2 linked regions of the Rattus norvegicus genome follow. The protein of the gene in region 1 purifies or fractionates together with the protein of each later gene. This does not show direct contact. Links are inferred from orthologs where the notes say so. Each region holds a gene or a part of one and is shown in the gene's direction. Other genes may lie near its edges.

Region 1 (10,690 bases):
TTCTGCATGACAGAGAGGGCATCAGACAGAACAGAGCATTGGATCCCATTAATAAATGATCATGAACCACCATATGGTTGATGGGAATTGAACTCAGGACCTCTGGAAGAGCAGCCAGTGCTCTTTAGCAAGCTCCTCAATAGGTCATTTTAAGAGTTTGCTCGTAGTACCCCTTTCCTTCTGTTTGAATGCTCCATTTGCCTGGGTGATAGGTCTGAAACAGCTGCAATGACATGTTTAAAATCCATAGGTGATACATATATATGTATATCTATCCTCCCTTCTGTACACCCAGAGCCATAATGTACCATAATGTCTTAAGGTTTGGGGGAGGTACATGTCACATAGTACTATGAATACTGAATCCTGAATTGTGCTTATGAACCAAACAAGAGTCTAGGGTATGTATAGAACCCTCAGGATCCCATCTCTTTCGTTATAGTCTTGTCTTTGGAGTTTTGTACCCTTTCATTTTGTGTCCCATTAGAGTTTTTATAGATCCTAGATCTGAGTCCTGGAACAGAATCAGGATAGTTTGTTTCCATTCACCCTTCTGTCTCCAGTTGATACACTTCATCAGCCAGTCCTTCTGTGTATTTGCCTTCTATGTAGTCTGTATTTGCACTTACCTTTGGGGCAACACACAGTTCTCCTTCTCCAGACTTAATTGGTTCTTCCATGGCAGAACTGAGTACTGGATGTGGCCCCTAAAACATGTTTGAATGTATAAATACCCATTAAGCCTTTTCCATTTATCTTTTAGGCTTTAATAGTTCTGTATTTTATTGACTTGCATTCATTGTTTATATTCTTAGGCTATGGATGGATTTGTTGTATCATCTCATGAGTATTGTCTTTTGATTTAAAGAATATTTTCATTTTTATATATAATGGAATGTAGTTACACTTTGTTATATTTAGTTCTAATTTTCTCTGTGTGATGTTAATATATTGGCTCAGTGCAGAAAATTTAGAATATTTGAAATTATCTAAAGGAAAAAAGTATCCATGGAAACAAAAAATTCCTATAATACTGTTAACCAGAAATAACCACCATAAATTAATTATACCTGATACATAATAGAAATGAAATAAGTACCCTCGAAGTGAATGAATTAAAAGTTTTATGCAGTCTTTGTTCATATAGCTCCTTTGAAAATCTTACTGATAAGAACTTGTAAAATAATAGTTTTCTTTGTTTCTCTTACTCTATTGTATACACTTTTTCATGACAATAGTTTTCTAATTTTTTTAAAGCCACATTGAAATTGCATTGAGCCAAGCTTGCCACCAAGAGTCCATCAGTCACCATGATGCTGAGCACAGAGGGCAGGGAGGGGTTCGTGGTGAAGGTCAGGGGCCTACCCTGGTCCTGCTCAGCCGAGGAAGTGATGCGCTTCTTTTCTGATTGCAAAATCCAAAATGGCACATCAGGTGTTCGTTTCATCTACACCAGAGAAGGCAGACCGAGTGGTGAAGCATTTGTCGAACTCGAATCTGAAGATGAAGTGAAATTGGCTTTAAAGAAAGACAGAGAAACCATGGGACACAGATATGTTGAAGTATTCAAATCCAACAGTGTTGAAATGGATTGGGTGTTAAAGCATACAGGTCCAAATAGTCCTGATACTGCCAATGATGGGTTTGTACGGCTCAGAGGACTCCCATTTGGCTGTAGCAAGGAAGAAATTGTTCAGTTCTTTTCAGGGTTGGAAATTGTGCCAAATGGGATGACACTGCCAGTGGACTTTCAGGGGCGGAGCACAGGGGAAGCTTTTGTGCAGTTTGCTTCACAGGAGATAGCTGAAAAGGCCTTAAAGAAACACAAGGAAAGAATAGGGCATAGGTACATCGAGATCTTCAAGAGTAGCAGAGCTGAAGTCCGAACCCACTATGATCCCCCTCGAAAGCTCATGACTATGCAGCGCCCGGGTCCTTATGATAGGCCAGGGGCTGGGAGAGGGTATAATAGCATTGGCAGAGGAGCTGGGTTTGAAAGAATGAGGCGGGGTGCCTATGGTGGAGGGTACGGAGGCTATGATGACTACGGAGGTTATAATGACGGGTATGGTTTTGGGTCTGATAGATTTGGAAGAGACCTAAACTACTGTTTCTCAGGAATGTCTGATCATCGATATGGAGATGGTGGGTCCAGTTTCCAGAGCACCACAGGGCACTGTGTACACATGAGGGGGTTACCATACAGAGCCACTGAGAATGATATTTACAATTTTTTCTCACCTCTTAATCCCATGAGAGTACACATTGAAATCGGACCTGATGGCAGAGTCACGGGTGAGGCAGACGTTGAGTTTGCTACTCATGAAGACGCTGTGGCAGCTATGGCAAAAGATAAAGCAAATATGCAGCACAGATATGTGGAGCTCTTCCTGAATTCTACCGCAGGGACGAGTGGAGGAGCTTATGATCATAGCTATGTAGAGCTCTTTTTGAATTCTACAGCAGGGGCAAGCGGTGGTGCTTATGGCAGCCAGATGATGGGAGGGATGGGTTTATCCAACCAGTCTAGTTATGGAGGTCCAGCCAGCCAGCAGCTGAGTGCTGGCTACGGAGGTGGTTATGGTGGTCAGAGCAGTATGAGCGGATATGACCAAGTTCTTCAGGAAAACTCAAGTGACTATCAGTCAAACCTTGCTTAGGAAGAGAGGAAGCATCAAAGAGCATCTACAGGAATAAAAAGTACATTATAGGAACTGGATAGAGTAGGGAGGATGTCCAGCATATCCAGTATGATTGGTAAATGGGAAATACAATTGCTTCTGATCACTATTGGTCAGCTTCTTTCTTTCTTCTTTCTCCTTTTTTTTAAAGAGAACAAAATTTAAGTTTAACAGTTTCGCATTACAAGCTTGTGATTCATGCTTACTGTAAAGTGAAAGTTACGATTGTTTTCAAACTTTAAGCTCAGCAATTTTGAACACTGAAAATATTCATCTAGGATGTAATAACAAGTTCAGTATTGACCATAACTGTCAATTCCACTTTCAGCTTTCCTCAAGTTAGTTATGTTGTAGGAGTGTACTTAAGCAGTAAGCATCTTTAGGTTTAAAGCAGTTTCACTTACGTTAAATGTTGCTCTTATACCACAATACATCGAAAACTTCAGATGCATGTTGAGAAACATGCTTTTCTGTAAAAAATATAGGAGCTGTGTCTGATTCAAAGTGACATTTGGCATGTTTGTTAATTCTAGCTTTTTGGTTTAATATCCTGTAAGGCACGTGAGTGTACACTTTCACCTTTTTTTTTTTTTTTTTTTTAAAGATCCGGGACAATTTTGAGATGTGATACCAATACATTAGGAGTTTGGTCATGTTATTTGTATGGAATTCTGGGGCTTTGATTTAAATCTTACCTTGTATTGTGAATTCCATTTAGATGTATTGTACTAAGTGAAACTTGTTAAATAAATCTTCCTTTTAAAAACTGGAAAAATCTTGCATAGTTTGATTTTTTTTTAAATCATGTTCTATTATATGGGCACACAGTAACTGGCTTTTAAAATTGTCTGCTATTGAAATTTTCTTTTCTCAAATATTCCAGGATGAATGGTTCAAGTTTTGATCCTCCTGCCTCTGCCTCCTGAGTATTGGAATTGCAGTCATACATCACTGTCCAGTTTATGCGGTGCTGGGGAATAACCCAGGGCTGCTTGCATACATGACAGGAACTCTACCAACAAGGCTATAGTTATAGCCTAAATTTTGGTTTGTGTGTTTGAGTGTTGGTAGAGGGCAGAGAAGAAGATTGGATATCCTTTTCTAAATACCCTGCCTATAGTCTAGGTGACAGGGTCTTTCACTGAGTCTAGAGCTAGGCTGGCAGCCAGGAAGTCCCAGTGATCTGCCACTGCTGTGTACAGCACTGGGGTTATAGTCACTGCTCTTGCTGGGTCATACTTTGTGAATGACCATAGCTGCTGGCCTTTTTCATGGCTGCTGGAGTTGTGAACGCAGCTTGCTCAGCTAGCACTCATTTATTTTTGATTCTATGTAGTTCCAGGTGTCCTAGAAAACTAGACCAGGCTGGCCTCGAACTCACAGAGATCCACCTGCTTCATCTTCCTAAATGCTGGGTTTAAAAGTGTGCGTGTGCATACCATGCCTGCTCCCCCTCCCCCCAATCTCTCCTTCCTTTCCTTCCTTCCTTCCTTTGGCTGGCCTTGGACTCACAAAGATCCACCTGCCTCTGTCTCCTCAGTGCTGGGATTAAGAGTACTGGGATTGGGACTGAAGAGATGGCTCAACAATTAAGAATACTGACTGCTGGGTTGGGGATTTAGCTCAGTGGTAGAGCGCTTGCTCCAAAAAAAAAAAAAAAAAGAATACTGACTGCCCTTCCGGAGGTCCTGGGTTCAATTCCCAGCAACCACATGGTGATTCACATCTGTAATGAGATCTGATGCCCTCTTCTGGTATGTCTGAAGACAGCTACAGTGTACTCATAGAATAAACATTTTTAAAGGACCGGGATTAGGGCTGGAGAGATGGCTCAGCGTTCAAGAGCACTGGCTGCTTGCCAGAGGATCCATGTTCAAATCCCAGCACCCACATAGCAACTCACAACTGTAACTCTAGTTCTAGGTGATCTAGCACCCTCAGACAGACATGAATGCAGATAAAACACCAAGATAGAAGAGTGCTGGGATTAAAGACATGTTTTGCCACCGCCTGGCCACAGAAAGCACTCTTACCCATTAAGATGCCTCTCCGTCCCTGCAATGTTTACTTAGTTAGAGACAGGGTTTCTCTGTGTAGCCCTGACTGTCCTGGAGTCTGTAGAACAAGTTGGCTTCAAACTCAACAATCTTCCTACCTCTGCCTCCGAAGAGCTGGGATTAAAGGTGTGTACCACCGCTGTATTTCTTAAAGGTTTTTTTAAACTAGAATTCCTGGAGACTTTGTGCTTTATCAAGACAACATTCCCAAAGTCCAAAGAAGTAGAAAGCAAGTGACTGCTTTCATTTGACCATGAATATGCTATGCCTCAGATGGAAAATAAAGCAGGCTATAGAAAAATCCTATTCTACACAAATTATTTGATAACACCTTTAAGTGCCTTTTATTTTTAGGGTTTTCAGACCTCTAAAGCTTAGTTGTGCTAAGAGTACTTGCGACCACATTTTGAAAACAGCTTAGGATTCTCTCACTCCTAAAGGTTTAACCCTGAAAGGAACTTAAGAAATAGTTGCATTTATGATCACGTGTTCTCTCCTTATTCATGGCAAGTAGCTCGACATTTCTGACATGCAAGCCATAGCTGATTGTTTACCATACCTTGCACCTCCCACGAGTATTCTGAGCACCTGCAGCACTTGTCTTGCGGTACCTTGCATGTCTGTATCCTGGTGGTTAGCAGTTTCACCTCTCATTGACCTGCAGTCCTGGACACCTCAGACCAGTAAAGGCTGCACACTAACTCTGTATTTCTGGATATATGACTGCTCAGGAACTGGACAGTTGTCTTTGAGCTGTCTATGCTCTGCATTTGTAGAGATACCCTGTGATGTAGGGTGCAGGTACCAGCTTCATATTAATTTGTACAGGATACTTTATTAAGTATGGTTTCTGGAAATTTAAAAGAATGGTACTGAGATTTGAGACTCACTGATGGTTTCTACTTAATATTTTTGGTTGGTTGGTTGATTTTTAAGTTGTTTGTAATTTCAAATACAGTTGGCAGGAGAGCAGGCAATCCGGTTTGACTTTTATGTCGTTGCACCTGTCACTATCTTTTTTTCCTAAGCACATTTTAGAACCCTTTCTCAGAGAAGTAAATTCAAGGTGGTGGTTTCTCCGTGCTGAGGAATTTTTCTAGAAGTTTCTCGAAGTATAAATGAAAAAGCTCCAGTTAGCCACTAGATGTCACCAAGTTCCCAAAAAGGAGAGCTGACTCCTGCGATGCTAGAAAGCCCTTTGCTACATTAAAATGGGGCCAGCAACACGGCTTTTGCAGATAAAGGTGCTCCCTGCCTGCCGTGCCTCTCAGTGTTTGATCCCTGGGGACCCACACCAAAGAGACCTATGCTGAGAGAATGAAACTCAGCAAGCTGTCCTCTCACCAGCTTCCTCTCATGTGGTATGTCCCCCACCCCTCAAAAAATAGTAAGAAACTCAGGCTCTGGGGAAGAGTGAAAGGAAAGAGTCTGGAGGACATATGTGCTCAGTCCTAGAGGTGGCAGAAGGACAATAGTACCAACACTGATCCCTGATCCCCGTATACTATACTTGTCTACAGGCACCCCCACTCCACCCTACCGCACACACTGCTAGTGACCCAGCATAAAAATTACCCAGGGAAGTATTATAGGAGGTAAACTGGATGTTCCGCTCTCCTGAGTCAAGCTACTTGGCAAGAGCAGCATACAGTTGTACGGTACAGTAATCATGGCCTAAAATTGTTCCCACAATAACTTGTGTCAGTGTTCCGGTGTGGTTTGTGGAGCAGCAGCAGTACAACCTCAGGCTTCCTTAAGAATGTGGCTTTTCAGAATTGGAACGATTGAGAAACTCAGGGTGAATCCCAACAAGCTGTGTTTTAATAAGTATGTAATGTGCTCTGCTAATGTGCTTATTTATGTGTGGGTTCTGTAAGCCACTGATCCATTCACTCATTCCGGACTTAATTCATCTGACCCTAAAATGGGTAACCAAATAGAATCATATCTAGAACCACAGAAGACTGTTGACTCATCCCCTAGCAAAGTAGTAAGAAAATGTGATGTCAAATTCATTTGTAAATCAAATACCTATCCGAGTGTACATATGCACACCAGAAGAGGGCATCAGATCCCATTTCAGGTAGCTGTGAGTCACCATGGGATTGCTGGGATTTGAACTCAGGATCTTAACTGCTCTTAACTGCTGAGCCCCAAGAAGATTTTTTAATGCTATTAGTAAAAATGATAGCAATTTTTTCCAAAATGGGCCATAAGGGCGATTGCCACACAACTGGTGATAAAGTGGAATTCCATTGGTTTGCCCAGTACCAGGCTGAGTGTCATGAGAGCTCTTTTGTAACCTGTTCCCACACTGACTGCAATTCAGTCTTGTGAATGGTATCCCCTTTCTTTCCTCCCTTCCTTTTCTGCACGTTAAAATAAAATTATTTTGTGTATATAGGTGGGGAGTTGCCTGGATGTTTATCTGTGGACCACTTGGGTATGTGGGAGTAGTGGAGAGGAGAGGAAACTGGAATGGACCATCCTGTGGATGCTGGGAACAGAACCTGGGCCCCCTAGGAGAGGTGTCAGTGTCCTTAACTGACAGTCTGCTTTCTCCAGCCCCAACCTAAGCTGGAGGACAGTTTTATTAGAGTCTAAAAGAAAACTCCCAGGGTAGCAAGCTGTAAATCTTGGGAGCTGCCAGAAGTGGGAAGGAAGATGGCGGGGAGAGGAAGTCATCCAGTTCGGGTTAGAGAAAGAGTGAAGCCCAGTTTCTTAGGGAAAGCATGCTTAGAAAGGAGATAGAAGAAAAGGACGTTTTACACTTTTTCTGAAAAGCCAGCCAGCTCACTGGTGCTCCATTAACTGAGTGTCCCATTTATCTTTTCCTAATGCTCTGTTTGGCCAATCTGTTAAGATATCCAGCTGTTTGCTTCTGGTTTTCTTTCTTTTATTCGTTTGTTTAGAGGTTGAGGGAGTCTGGGGATTGAACCTGGGACCTTGCCTACGAAGACAAAACCACTGAGATACATACCTAACCCTTTTGAAATAGTCTGATTGAATATTGCCAGTAACCATTTTCCAAGATCCTCTTTACCCTCTTGCTGCTACCCTTTGTGCTTGATCTGTTTCTCATATAAGGGGTGCTATTAGGTTTCATTGCCACCCCCACTTTAGAGATGGGGAAACTGAGTCTCAGGGACTCAACCATCTTGGGGAAAGAAAGTTGTGCTGGAGGAAAGCAGGAAATAATGTGGGTGGGGGAGTGAAGAACATGTCTGGGTTCCACGTGGGATGGTGTAGCGGCTCCTGGGAACTTGTGGGTGAGGATATCTCTGAGCAACGCAGGAACCACTCTCAGCTTTCCCAGCCCTCTCTCTCTCACTAGGGAGCTCACAGTAAGCAGGGGGGTGGGGGCCTGGGATAGGGAGGGTCGAGAGAATTTGGCCGTAATCCATTTCTTCCTCTCTTTCCAGATGGCTGGAGGCCCTTAAACAATCCACAGCCCCGCCCCCCCCCCCCCGGTCCCCCAGCACATTCCACTGCAAGGACCGGAGTTGGGAAAAGGCTGCCCGGAAATGGCGGCTAAAGCCTGGTGGGGGCTGGTACCGGGTCACTGAAGCAAATGGGGGAGTGGTCAAGACTGATGAGTGGCAGATGGTGGTGAGGCAAGGGAGCCCTGGAAGGTGTCTGCAGAGCGGAGAGAGGGATAAATACCACCTTTGTTAGCTATTGCTAAGCATCTGGAAAAACCCAGGCTTTCTATCTCTCCGGCCTTCTCAGACCCCTCCCCCTCCCCCAAGCAAGGCGGGAAAGCAGGCCAAAATGCAGCATAACCCAAGACAGGGAAGTCTGGAGAGCCACCCTCCCTACTAACTGCCACTGTGTGATCATCCCCATCTCCCATCCCCTCCTCCTGGGTTATCGGAGGCTCATTGGTTCCCTGGTCTGCCCCTTCAAGCAGGGACTCCCTGCACCCAGGGCAGCTCCAGAGAGTCGGTGGGAAGGGACACTGCAGCTACCTCCTCTAGAAGGTGTCACATTACCCTACGGAGCGCTCCTGTCTTGGCATGCAGGAAGCGGCAGAATACAAGTTTATTTTTCAGTTGAGTGTTGATCCAACGTTTATGGCTTGTGATTAATCTTTTTCCTTCTGTTCTTGAATCTCCTATCGATGGTGAGATCAAGGACAAACAGCTCACCAACTGTCACAACACCATATTGGAACTTTGAAGCATTCTGAAAACATGCTGGTTGTTTTTCTTTTTCTACCCATTGCACGTTCTTTTTCTCCTTTTAGATTTTTTCTTTCCTATGTAGCAAAATTCTTAAAAGCATATTTTACCACTCCCATCCACCCTCCCCTCCTTAGTTCACACTTACTTGTTCCCATTTTGCTTTGCTTTGTCTGAACTCAACATGACCTTAAACATGCAATCTCCTGCCTCCCGCTTCCAAATGCTGAAGTTCCAGGCCTGTGCTACCTTGCAGAGGTAGTCTAAACAGATTTCTGTGCTCTAAATCTTTCTGCACAAATAAGCTGAGCACTTTCTACTTGTCATTTTCGACCTATTTGACGTGTGTTCTTTAAAATTTTCCTGTTAAGCTGTACTCCTCCCCCTTTTGGTGGTGTGGGGGCTGGCACCTAGGGCTTTGCACAATCTAGGCATGTAGGGTTGTTGCTTTTGTGTGTGAGTGTGTGTGTGTCCGTGCATGTGTGTGTACATGTGTGCCTGAGTGTGTGTGTGTATGTGAGTGCGTGTGTATGTTTTATCATTAGATTGGCCATTAATCAGTAAATGTGATGACTTCCAAGAACTGCCTGTTGGTTAGAGGCTGAGGAATAGTTTAGAGGTAATAGGAATGCCCTAAAACGTACATTGTAGTGATGGTCTGAACAACACTGTAAGTTTACAAAGGACTGTTTCAGTAAGAATTTTTCGTTCCTTCATCAAATAGTCTCCCAGCCAGTGACACCCTCGCTCAGCTCCTTGGCTGTAAATCTATGCTATTGTTATATTTGGAATCGAGTTGTTCTATATTGAAATCCCTTTTCCTTTATTATAGGGGTTTGTACTAAAAAACCTATCTAGGGGGTGGAGAGATCGCTAAGAGACCAAGTTGCTCTTCCAGAAGAGTTGGGTTCAATTCCCAGAACATACATGATGGCTCCCAAAATAACTCCAAGGACTGTCGTCCACTTCTGGCCTTCCTGGGAACTGCACACACATGGTACACAGGTGTACATGCAAGCAAATCATCCTTTACATGTAAAATAATAAAATAACAATAAAAAACGACTTAAAATCTATCTTAAGCATTTTTTCTTTTGTGCCTGAGAAGACCAGCACTGTCGGATCAGTTCTCCTGTGTTCCATTCTCTCAAGAAAGATTCTCTCACAGAACTTGGGGTTCATCATTTCTCTTCAGTTAGGTTAGCTTGCCAGCAAGCCAGGCGGCCATGCCTATTTTTTTATAACATGGGTTCTGGGGATCCAAACGTAAGTTCTCATGCTTGCACAGTAATTACTCTTGCTCAGTAAGCTGCTTTCCAGTTCATATCTTCACTACTTTTAACCAATAAATAGCTCTTTTGGGAAAAAGACACTAGATACATTTCTGGTAATATATAGTCTGGCTTCCTAGAGAACAATTTTTTTTTTTTTATAGATTTAGTTTAGCGGGACATGGTGGCACATACCTTTAGGACCCGTACTTGGAAAGCAGAGAGGATCCATGTCTGTGAATTTGAGGCCAGCCTGAGCTACCTAGTGGTGAGTGCCAGGTCATCCAGAGCTTACATCTGTCGGAACACACACCTAAAACTTCCTATTTATTTTATATTTAAGTGCATGTGTGAGACGGAGGTGGGTATGTAAGTGAGTTCAGGTGCCTTTGAAAGCCAGAGGCCTTGCAACTGAAGTTATCAGCTGTTTAGAGTCACCAGATAAGGCTTCCAGGAACTTCATTTGGGACATCTGCAAGAACAGTGTGTGTGTGTGTGTG
Region 2 (11,592 bases), on another chromosome or scaffold:
GCCTCGGTGCGCCAGGAAGTCCTCCTGCAGTAGCACGCAGTCACGGCCTGAACCCGTGGACAGCCCGGAGGCTGAGGCGGGCCCGGGGACACCAGCGGCAGGGCCTGAGCCCGGGGTTCCCAGCTGCAGGCAGCGCACTCGGCGCAGCAGGCCCTCCCGCAGCAGCAGCACCGCCTCTCCAGCCTCAGCCACCACATTCAGCGGGCGTAGTTGCACGAAGGGCACGAAGTCCGGCGTCACGGCAGGCTCCCGCTCTCCGGGCGTCACCCACAGCCGGTTGTTGGCAGCGTCCAGAGCCAGAAAGCCGTTGGCCACCAGAGCTGGCACCCCGGGGCCCAGCGGCACCGCCTCGCCGCGATCACGCAGGCCGCGCCACGCGCGGGTGGCCGCTTCCAGGCAGGCGGACGGCTCGGCGGCGCCCGGCTCGCTGCGGGCCCAGGACGGCAGGTGCAGGCCACCCGCCGCCCGCCGCGCCCCGGAGCTCGCGAACCACAAGAGCAGCAGCAGGAGGCCGAGCAGGCAGAGGAGGCGGCGGGCCCAGCTGCTCGACAGCAGCCCCGGCAGCCCCTTCAGGCGCTGCTGCAGCCACATCGGGCCCGCCGCCCAGCCCTCCCGCCCGGCCGCCGCCGCTCACTCCCCGGGCCGCGTCGCCGCGCCCACCTCAAAGCCCACCGTAGCCGCCCCAGCAGCCACCTTCACCGCTTCCTCCTTCTTCTTGGTTGCCTCCTAGACGTCAAACGCCGCCGGCCGTAAAGCATCGCTGAGTTTTTTTTTTTTGCGACAAGGTGGAAAAGCGGCCAAGGGCGGGATTTGGGGAAGGGGCGGAGTTTCTTTGAGGGCGTGGCCGGGCGGGGGCAGGGCGGGGCAAAATGTGGGCAGGAATCCAAATGGCTTGGTGGAAAAAAGAGAAAAGAAAATCAGAGAGCAAGCCAAACCCAACGAGAGCTGCGCCTCGTTAGCTGCTGATGGTTTCAACAGCCCTAAAGTTAAAAAATAAAAACGTACTGTTTCTGTAAACTATTTTTAACTGAATGAAGAAAAGACATAGAGGTAAATGGAAGGAAGGAAAGAAGGAAAGGAGACAGGGAGGAATGAAGTGTAGAGGGAAGGAAGAGGAGGAGGAAGGGTAGCCACTGAAAAACGATGTCCTAAGGAAATATTTTGTCGGCAGCGTTTCAAACCTGCCTGGCTGTTGAGTACACCAGAGTGGGACATAAATCCAGCTCAGGAATGCCTGTTTCTTAAACACACCAAGTAGTTTTCTTAAGGTCCATCTTTAACTCATTCAATAACAGTTTTAACTCATTCAATAACACGAAACATACTTTTCTCATACTTTGACATGACCTACAGCATCCATATGGGGGGGAGGGGCGGCGCGGCCTGGGAATCGACTGGAGCCCTGGAGCAGACAGTGGGTGGTTGTTTCCACTTTGGATTCTAGGCAGACAACGGGCGATTGTTTCCCATTTTGGAGTCTGAGCAATCCAGAGCTAGATGGGCTGTTGCAAATTCACAGTTGACAATTAAACGGTCACTTGAGGTGGTTTCTAGTGGGCTGTAAGCAGACAGAAAGTTGTTTGCTGAAGTTGTGAGCCCGCGTCGCATTGGAAGAATGCTCATCCTGTTTTGCTTTTACTTTATTTTTTTGTTCATCTTTGAGACAGGATCTCTCTTGTATTGTCCAGACTGGACTTCAAACAATTCCTAGGCCCCAAAGATTCTTTCTCAGCATTCCCAGTCGCTAGAATTAAAGGCACATGTCCAGCTTTTACCCGTTTTTATTTTCACACAAGAATCCATGCTAAGAGCCCGGCAGTGGTGGCACATGCCTCTAGTCCGAGCACTTAAGAGACAGGGGCAGGTGGATCTCGGAGTTGGAGGCCAGTCTGGTCTACAGAGTTCCAGGACAACCAGGGCTACACAGAGAAACCCTGTCTTGAAAAACTAAACTAAACAAAGAAAAAAAACAAACAAACAAATGCCCCAAAGCTCAATAGCACATTTTTAGCCAGGTATTGTGTACATGTCTTTAATCTGATTCTTTGAAGAGGCAGAGGTAGATGGATTTTAGTGAGTTCAAGGCTGGCCTGTCTACACAGTGAGACTTTATCTCAAAGTAAACAACAAAACAATCACGGGCTGGAGAGATGGCTCAGCGGTTAAGAGCACCCGAGGGGCTGGGGATTTAGCTCAGTGGTAGAGCGCTTACCTAGGAAGCGCAAGGCCCTGGGTTCGGTCCCCAGCTCCGAAAAAAAGAACCAAAAAAAAAAAAAAAAAAAAAAAAAAAAAAAAAGCACCCGACTAGTCTTCCAGAGGTCCTGAGTTCAATTCCCAGCAACCACATGGTGGCTCACAACCATCTGTAATGGGATCTGATGCCCTCTTCTGGTGTGTCTGAAGCCAGTGTACTTATACATAATAAATGAATAAATCTTTAAAAAAAAATCACACTCCCCTCCCCCCTTTGGCAGAGTTTTAGCTCAGAACAGAGCACAAGCGATTTCCCAGAACCTCAAAATTAAAATAAAAATCTAATGGCAAGATGGCTCAGTAGGTAAAGGCATTCATTCGCCAGGAAGTGTGATGACTTCTGTACCTAGGACCTACATGGTGGAATGAGAGAACAGACAACTCCATGTGCATATTGTATGTCTAAGTCAGAAGATGGTGCGGGATCCCTGGAAGTGGTGCTGCCAGTCTCTTAACTGCCCAACCATCTCTCCAGCCTCTCTTTTTAGTGGATGACAAGAGGAAGCCTCTCCGGCGTCTGCGCAAAGTGGAGTCCTGCGCCTTTAACAGTCCAAAGCACGTGGAGCACGTACTAGAAATTCGAGAAGCAACATCTGGACAGCAGCCACCACCCCTGCTTAAAGAAACAGGCCGCCGTACACGAATCTTGGACGGTGTTCAAGTTCTAGCAATTCGATGAACCAAACAGGAAACAGATACCAGAAGCGTGTAAAGTCGGGCTTTACAAGAGTGAACCCTTCCTCTTGAAGGTTCAGGCAGTTTCTAGAGCCCATCCCTCTTTTAATTTAGACTCTGATGACTGCCCAGGAATGTCTTCTATCTGGGGTATATCACTGGTGAGGGTCTCCGTGGACTCTGGCAAAAAGGCAGTTCTAGCTGGGAGCTGTCTGATGCTTCCTTACTGCGGCCCCACGTCACGTGTGTGATGCCAAGCAGATAATGCTTCTCCGAGCCTTAGTTTCTCCTTTTGCAAACAGTTACAAGCATGAAGAAGAGCTTTGAAAACTGAGCCAGCCAACACAGGCTGGCTGCTTCTCCCCCCCCCACCCCCCATTTACACTTGCATTTCCTCCTTTGGGGGTTTGGAAATCTCAGTCCTCGGCCTTCTGAGTCTAAAACACCCGGTAGACGCTGGTGGATCTTTGGCACCAAGTCCTGTCTCCAGCTGCAGCAGCTCCTGGCCCTAAGTCCCAGCTGGGAAGCCAATGTTCTGCATTCTGCTGAGGTCTCTTCCTCTGGTTTGTCTTGTGACTTCGAGCTTGCTGCTGGAGAGCCCTGGGCCCCCTACAGTCTGAGAGTGTGAGTGAGCCTCTGCACAATGAGGCGGACTCCCGTCTTCCAGCCGGTTCTCATTTTCGAGAAAGGACACAAGTTCTAAAACTATACAAATATTGTACATCTTTCTTAACAAAAGAGAGAGAGAGAGAGAGAGAGAGAGAGAGAGAGAGAGAGAGAAATAAGAAAAGAATTCTCCACAGTAATATGACCTAGAAATGCTGTGTAAGTTATGCACCGGTTTATACCACAACCTGGAAGTAATCTTTGCCAACGTTTGTCTGTGACTTCCTTTCTTTGGTTGGAGGTGAATGGGTGTTGTTAGGGTCTCACTCAGTCCACACTGGCCTCAAGCTATATAGTCACCAGCTGCATGGCTGAGCATGTCCCAAACTCCTGATCCTGCTACACCTCCTGAGTGCAGGCATTCTAGTTTGACTGACCCTCCCCTTCCTTCTCTCTTTCCTGACCGGGTCTGGCTGTGCAACTCTGGCCGGCTTTGGGCAATGGAGCTCTTCTACTTCCCAAGTGCTAGGATTTAGGCACACCCCACCCTACCCCACCCAGCACTGATTTTACCTATCTACAAGGCTGAGAGTAGTCTGTCTTTGACAAAGACTCGTACTGAAGAGACAGCTTTTCCCGAGTAGCATTCTGTAGATAGTGTTTCCTCTGTGAAAGTCCACTTCTTCCCAACTTCCTGATTCCTTCAAGCCCCCCCCCAACCCTGCCCTAGAGTCTAATCTGTGGGAAAGAGGTTCCAGGGTCCCTGTCTGAGCTCTCTTCCGTGGCTTGTCGGATTTTATTCAGAGGCGAACGTACATGGCTGACATCTGGACCAGGAGCTCTTGCCCCAGAAACCTTTGATCAGCTTTTACTTTGAGTGTCAATGAATGGCATTGAAAAATTTCACTCCATCCATTTAACTGCTATTCATCCACGTCCACCCACCCCACCTACCCATCCATCCATCCACCCATCCATCCATCCATCCATCCATCCATTCATCTATCCATCCATCCACTTACCCACCCATCCATCTACACCCCCGTCCATCCCACAATTAACCTCTGCAGCCAGAATTTCCTTGACTATTTTCAGATTTCCTTTCAAGGGGCGGAAAGTTGAATTAAGTGATTCCCTTTTGGGAGCTGGGGCTAGACTCTTTTTTTTTTTCCCTAACAGTTCCAGCGTCTGCAGAGGTGTCAACAACTGTGTCCACTCTAGGCTTAACCGCTCACCTCTGGAATTTGGGGAACGCATAAAGAAAATGAAATCTCTAAGAGACACTGAAATGCTCTACAGATCCCATCATCGCTGTGCATGGTGTTAAGCACCCTTTTCTAGACATCAAGGCCTCGCCTTCATCGCCCACTTGGAGGTGTATGGGGCATGGACAGTCCGGCAACAGGACTAAGGGGCCACAGTGACCTGCCCCAGGTCTGGAAGACCCGCAAGCTTAAGCAGGAAGACCCTACCCGGAGGCGGGCGGAGGAGTGCGGGGCACCGCCCCCGGGGCGGGCCCCAGTGCGTGGCAGCGCTCGCCCGCCCCATCGCGAAGTTTCCAGTTCAGCTTGTGTTTCAGTGCCGGCGGATCGTCTCCAAGACTCGACTATGCGGTCCCTGCTGCTCCTGGCCTCGCTGGCCTGGCTTCTTCTGGCCCAGGCGAAGGACGACGCCAAGCTGGAGGGTGAGGGCGCGGTGGCGGAGCTGTGTCAGGCTGTCTCGCCGAGGACCCGGGTGTCCAGGCGACCTGGGCTGGAAGGGCGGGGGGAACTGGGTCTTGGTCATCTGTCCACTTGCCCGCGGGTGACTCCGATAGATCACTTCCTCTCATGGGGTCGGGATTCCTAGGTTTGTCCTGCGAGCAGAGGAGAGGACAGCCGGAGTACACCCCTCATCCACCCACGCGCGCCCCCTAACCTCATTTGGCTCCCAGAGGAGCCCATGATCAATCACAGTTCCCATATTAAGTAGCAAGGCTCCTACAGTAGCCGGGCCTCACCAGTTAAGCACCAGTTAAGCACGTTTGCTGTAAGTGTTATCTTATGTTTAACCCCATTTTCTAGCTTCACAAACTGAGGCTCCAGAGTTGATTGGTTCTCCCGAAGGGCACACAGCTTGTGGGCATTGGGAATGGCTTTATCTACCTCTCTGGGTGTGTCTGGTTCCGGAGCCCAGCCTTGAGTTCTTGTTATCTTTAGAGTAAGGGGATTTGGAGTGAAGGAGCTTAGCGAGGCATGCAGCCGGGAGTGGTTGGTCCCAGGTCGCTTGAACTCGCAGCCAGTGCTCATTCTGCTTCTCCAAGGGCTACTGGATTCTGAACTGTGTCCCGACTGCCCCACTATCCTGTCCCCCCAGCCCATGCTGGACTAGACCACCCCCAGTCCTGCTGTCTGAGACCCCACCCCATCCCAGGAGAACAGACTGTGGACCACCCAGACAGGCAAAACCAAACCAGCCACATTCTCTAGGGCATCCTGTTTCCTTCTGCCCATCCTCCTGGAGACCTGGGAGCTGGCCTAGTCGTGGTGGGTGGTAGGAGAGTGGCGGACTCTGGTGGGTGAGCCCTGTGGGTAAGAGCGCTTGCCTAGCTTGCATGCAGCCCAGGGTTTGGTTCCCAGCACTGCATAAAGTAAAACATGGCTGTGCGTGCTTATAACCCCAGTACTGAGGAAGGTTGGAGCAGGATTATCAGACGTTAAAGTCATCCTCTACTACACAAAGGGTTGAGGTCAGTCTAGGCTACATGAGACCCTGGCCAAAACCAAAATCAAACAACCCCCCCCCCAAAAAAAAAAAACAAAAAACAAAAACCAAAAAACCCCAAGGCTTTGAGACCCATGTGCTGGGAACCACTGGTTTTCGAATGCCTGCTGCATCCATGCTATTAGACACAGGATCACACACCTTCCACTGGTTACATTGGGGATGCACAGTCTTTGAGAAGCTTGGTATTCTAGACCGATACACAGGGTGGCAATACCTCATTCCCAGAGATCACGAGAGATTCCTCAGATGAGGCTGGTCCCTGAGTCCCCGTAAAGTCAAGGCTCTGGGCATTCTTTCCCAGCTCAGAGCAGCTAGTTTTCTGTAGGGTCTAATCTGGCGTGGAAGGAAGATGGATGAGAGACTATTTGGTAAGTCCGACGCGACCACGGGGTTGGTAAAGTGTGCAAAAGCCTGGTCCACCCAGTGACGGGAGCCTGGGGCCCTGTGGTAAGCCACCTCTTCTCTGTCTCACGTGCTCTCCTGCTTCTGCTGGTGTATGCCCTTCTACCCAGACCATCCAAGTTACAAGAGCTTCCGCCCAGAGTGGGAGGGGGTCAGAGATGCTCCTCACTACTGAGGACACGGTCCTTCATCCTGACCCAGCAGCGGCAGGTGAAAGCCGGTGCCTGAGGGTACTCAGCTCCCCCTCTTGGAAGGGTACCCCTCCGTGCCAAGAATGGAGGCATCACCTCACAGACACCCAGTAATTAAGATACTCATTGAGCCTTCACATTAATCTCTGAGAGAGGGCTCCTTTATCCACGGTTCCTATGGTGCAGTTGAGGACACGGAGGCATGGGGAGGGTCAATCCCCTGCTGAGCCGTCTGCTCTTACCGCTTTGCTCTACCACCCCTCTTTCACCTCTGCTGACTGGGGTCACAGTTTGTCCATCTGAGGAGATCATCGCCGGACTTTGGGCAGCAGGTGGGGAGGGCTGAGCTTTCAGGGTGCCAGGCCCATTTGGTTTTCGTGGCTGTTGAGCAGACAAAACAGGCCTTGGGGGCGGGGATGGGGGATGTGAGTGGGGTGGGGGTGGGGGTGCTATCCCAATCAACCTATAACTCCTGTTGACACTATGTGGGTGGCCCAGAGCTCTGATGGGCTTGACAGTGGACTGGAGAAGGTACCTGTACTAGGGGAGCTTGGAGAAACCCCAGTGGCTCAGGGTTCTGTCTTTAGTCAGCTGTTCCACCATGCTGCGTGCTGTGAACGTGGCTGGGCGCACCTCTGTCAGGTGGATCTGTGTGAGTTCGATGCCAGCTAGCATGGTCTACAGAGTGAGTTCCGGGACAGCCGAGGCATGTGCTGGCCTATGCTGCTCTTCCTGCCCCCTTTTGGCAAGAGGGCCTCAGAGCTGATGACCGGACTGGTTTTCCTCACCTGCAGGGAGACTTAACTTTTCAGGCAAGCGTTGGCAGCCCTTCCTCCCTTGTGAGAGGCAGCAGCTTTCTTCTCTGGGCCCCCAGGGCCAAGTGGGGAGGTTACCCCTCCACAGCTGTTTTCTTTTCTTTTTTTTTAAAAGATTTATTTTATGTACATGAGTACACTGTCGCTGTCTTCAGACACACCAGGCATCAGATCCTATTACAGATGGTTGTGAGCCACCATGGGGTTGCTGGGAATTGAACTCAGGACCTCTGGAAGAGCAGTCAGCGCTCTTAACTGCTGAGCCATTTCTCCAACCCCTTCCACAGCTGTTTATGGCATCATCTGCTCCTGCCCAGGCCCCTGAACCCATCCCACCGGGTCCTGCCAATTCCTGCTTTGAGTTCTGGCACTGATCCCTTGCTGCAGGGGATAACTTCCTGCCTAAGCAGCTGGGAGACCTGGTTTCCTTTGTTCTCTCAGCTCAAACTCCTGATGTCAAGAGGTGGGAAGGGAAAGGTCTTACCTGCCTGCTGCTGGCCTGACTAGTTTGTTGTTATTGTTACTATTTGGTTTGTTTTTGAGTGTGTGTGTGTGTGTGTGTGTGTGTGTGTGTGTGTATGTGTGTGTGTGTGTTGTCCTGTTCATTTACATAAATGGGAGTTCTGGATTCAGAGGAGCCATACCAGCCATTGAATAGTGGGCCTGTCCCTCAACCTCCATGGGCAAACATCTGAGTGGGAATCACAGGGGTTGATAGCAGAGGAAGGAAAGGGGTGCTAGTATGTCTGACTGGCCCTGGGATTTTTGGCAAGAAGGACAGAAGCCATCAGCAAGACTCAGGCTGAAGAAAAGTCATACACAAACCATAAAATGAGTCTACCCTCTAGCCACACAGAGCCATGGATACTGGACAAGGCATCCCCCTCACTGGTCAACCCCACTGATTTCTCTCATTGTGTGCCAAGTGTCTAGCAGCCCCGAAAGGCAGGCACTTTATTGTCCTTACTGAATAAGGACAATAAAGAACTGAGTTTCAGGGCCTTGCCCTGGGTCACATAGTTTGTAAGGCAGTGTTAGGATCTAAGCTGGCAGGCCAGCCCCTACCCTCCCTTCTCAAGCATCACAGCCTCACAATAGGGTCTACAGGGGATGCTGGGGACTCCCATAGACGCTGTCTTGGCAATTGCTTCTAGCACGTTCTGTTGCCGAGGTGAAGTCGCCCTGCAGACCTGGCTGAGGTCCCTTGTTAAGAAGGTAGTAACAAAGCCAGACATGTTGGTAGTGCATTCTTGGAATCTCAGCGTTTGGGAGTGGAGGTAGGAAGTCCGAGAGACAAATGCAAGGACAGCTTTGCTACCTGTTGAGTTGGGTATGGGCTTGGGTCACATGAGAACCATTTTCAAAATGAGAGGGAGGAGAGATGGTATGAGCTCCTCTGGCCACAGACATGGACAGATGGGTGGACTTTAAGTTGGTCTCTACCTCAGGCAGCCTGAACTGGAAACATGGCATTGGGAGAGTCAGCTATGCAGGGTTGGGAAGGACCAGAGTGGATGAGTATGTCCACCCTTGGTGCATGCGTAGAGAGGAAGCAGCCTCTGAATCCTGTACTTGCCATCCCCAGACTAATGCCCAGCACCGGCCAGAGAGATCCTCCCATGGTCAGCGCTCAGGGTATCCTCCCTTCCACCCCACGTGATGCCTGCACCCTCTAAAGCCAGAGACTTTGTTTCACAAGGCAGGGTGCACCCCTACCCCCATTGCTGCCTGACATATTTGTCAATTTCTACATACAAGGACGCCGAGGGAGGGAATTGGGAGACAAGGGTTACATCCCTGTTTTTTTCCTTACCCCACTAGATGGTCCGTGGCATAGCCTGAGCCCTTGACTGTAGTGGTGTGATGAAGGCCACCGTTCAAGGCTCATGTCCTCCTTTCTCCTCACCACCCCCTTCTCTGTCCACAGACAACCTTTTGGTCCTCACCGTGGCCACAAAAGAGACAGAGGGCTTCCGCCGATTCAAGCGCTCAGCCCAGTTCTTCAACTACAAGATCCAGGTGAGGGCTTCCTGGGAAAGGCAGAGACGGTGTGTGACATGTATATATGTGTGTGGGGGGGGGAGTCCAGGGGCTGGGGCATCTCCTTCCCACAGTTAGGGCTCTTGGGACAGATTTAGATGTCAAGAGGCAGCTTCCCAGGGGCCAAAGAGTGAGCTTGGATTAGGATGAAGGGCGGAGTGTGAGTAGATTCTAGGAGGTGAACGAGAGGGAGAGTGGAGGCTAGAGAGATGCGGACTGGTACCCGGATGGCAGTGTGCACCGGCCTCACTGGGAGTGGTAGTGTAGATGGCAGAGCCTGGGAACCAGCACTCCCACAATCCCACATCTTAGTGGATGTGGTCTAAATACATTCTCTGGAGTGTGTACACTGCTTGTCTGCCGGGCATAGACTTCATGTCGTTATGGGACCTGCCTGCCGGAAGTCAGCCCTCACCTCAGTGGGCCATTCTGAGTGTTGGGCACTGGGGACAGAGACGCACTCAGCCTAGTCATGGCCTATAGAGAGCTGGGTGTTATTTCAGGCGTTGCTAGATCCAGGGTCCCAGGCATCAAAGGGCTTTATTTTCCCATCTCCAGAAACAGGCTCTCTCCATTGTGGTGACTCTAACCGTAGACTCCTATACCACAACCTTTTCAACCTCAGCCAATCATGACATCCTTGCCTTAATTTTAACAATGGTCCCAGGGAAGACTCTGATAGGCCATGTTTGGATTATATGCTCAAAGCTCCAGCTGTGGGAGGGGCCGAAGGAGTGTGGATGTAGCGAATGTTTATGCACGGTCACATGACCACCACTGGCATCACCTGGTATGGAAGCAAAGATAGCCACTGCTCAAACTGGGTGGGAGAATATTTCTCCACCAAAAGCTGGGGGCCTCTCTCTGCAGTCACTGGGCCTGGGGGAGGACTGGAGCGCGGCCGGGGGACCATCGGCAGCAGGTGGAGGACAGAAGGTTCGGCTGCTGAAGAAGGCACTGAAAAAGTATGCAGACAAGGAAGACCTGGTTATTCTCTTCGTTGACAGGTGGGTGTGCGGGGAATCGGGTCCTGGGAGTTCGGAGTGGTGTTAGGGGCGGGGTCCCAAGTAAGACCTTTCCTGGACATCAGGAGGCTCCCTTGCTAAGCTTATCTAAGGTCAGAAGAGCCCAGGGTATGTCTCTCTGATGTAAGCCAATACTCCTGTTGGGGAAGAGATAAGAGGTGTGAGCGGCCGAAGATGACAGAGGAACCAGTTTTAATATGACATGGAAATGGGGCAGACAGCAGTATGTGGCGGTGTGCAGATCTGTCTCTCAGATGGTGGCTGGCATAGGATGTGAGGGGGTCCTGATCCCTGTGTCCCCCTGTGGGTGCTCTCTCTGGAGCACCTTCTTGCTTTGGCCACAGCTATGACGTGGTGTTTGCCTCGGGACCCCGGGAACTCTTAAAGAAGTTCCAGCAGGCCAAGAGCCGGGTGGTCTTCTCAGCAGAGGAGCTTATCTACCCTGACCGGAGGCTGGAGGCCAAGTATCCCACAGTCCCCGATGGCAAACGATTCTTGGGCTCTGGAGGTAAGTGGTTCTGCACAGGGTGTGGGGACCGGTGCCTGACTTCGCCGTGGGTCTTAGGTTTCAAATGCATTCTGTGTCAAAGAGAGCCTCTGAGGGGGGTCCTCCTCACTCTGTTGAAGGGCCATCTATCTATACTGGAGAAACTGAATCACCCCTGATAACCTCATTCTGCTTTCCAAAGATCTCTAGAACCCAGTGACTCAGTGGGCTCTGTGAGACCTTATTTCAAAAGACTGGACTGATGAAATTTCTCAGTGGGCATAGCCTCTTGCCATATAGCCTAACAATCTGGGTTTAATCCTCAGAACCCA

What was found.
Region 2: the proteins of Hnrnph2 (region 1) and Plod1 purify together in Homo sapiens (affinity purification with mass spectrometry; 3 studies listed by BioGRID and IntAct, counting the BioPlex papers as one, with this or other methods). This does not show direct contact. The link is inferred for Rattus norvegicus from reciprocal best matches to the Homo sapiens genes HNRNPH2 and PLOD1.

What each region holds. Positions count from the first base shown.
Region 1 is NC_086039.1:102,076,660-102,087,349, forward strand, and holds the end of Hnrnph2 (heterogeneous nuclear ribonucleoprotein H2), read left to right. Parts: exon of another isoform or gene 1-1,257; 5' UTR 1,258-1,310; coding exon 1,311-2,660; 3' UTR 2,661-2,787; downstream 2,788-10,690. UniProt on the Homo sapiens protein: This protein is a component of the heterogeneous nuclear ribonucleoprotein (hnRNP) complexes which provide the substrate for the processing events that pre-mRNAs undergo before becoming functional, translatable mRNAs in the cytoplasm. Binds poly(RG).
Region 2 is NC_086023.1:163,644,240-163,655,831, reverse strand, and holds the start of Plod1 (procollagen-lysine,2-oxoglutarate 5-dioxygenase 1 precursor), read left to right. Parts: upstream 1-5,094; 5' UTR 5,095-5,142; coding exon 5,143-5,218; intron 5,219-9,635; coding exon 9,636-9,727; intron 9,728-10,618; coding exon 10,619-10,755; intron 10,756-11,117; coding exon 11,118-11,281; intron 11,282-11,592. Other genes in the region: 2510039O18Rikl (uncharacterized protein KIAA2013 homolog), read right to left, coding at 1-591. UniProt on the Homo sapiens protein: Part of a complex composed of PLOD1, P3H3 and P3H4 that catalyzes hydroxylation of lysine residues in collagen alpha chains and is required for normal assembly and cross-linkling of collagen fibrils.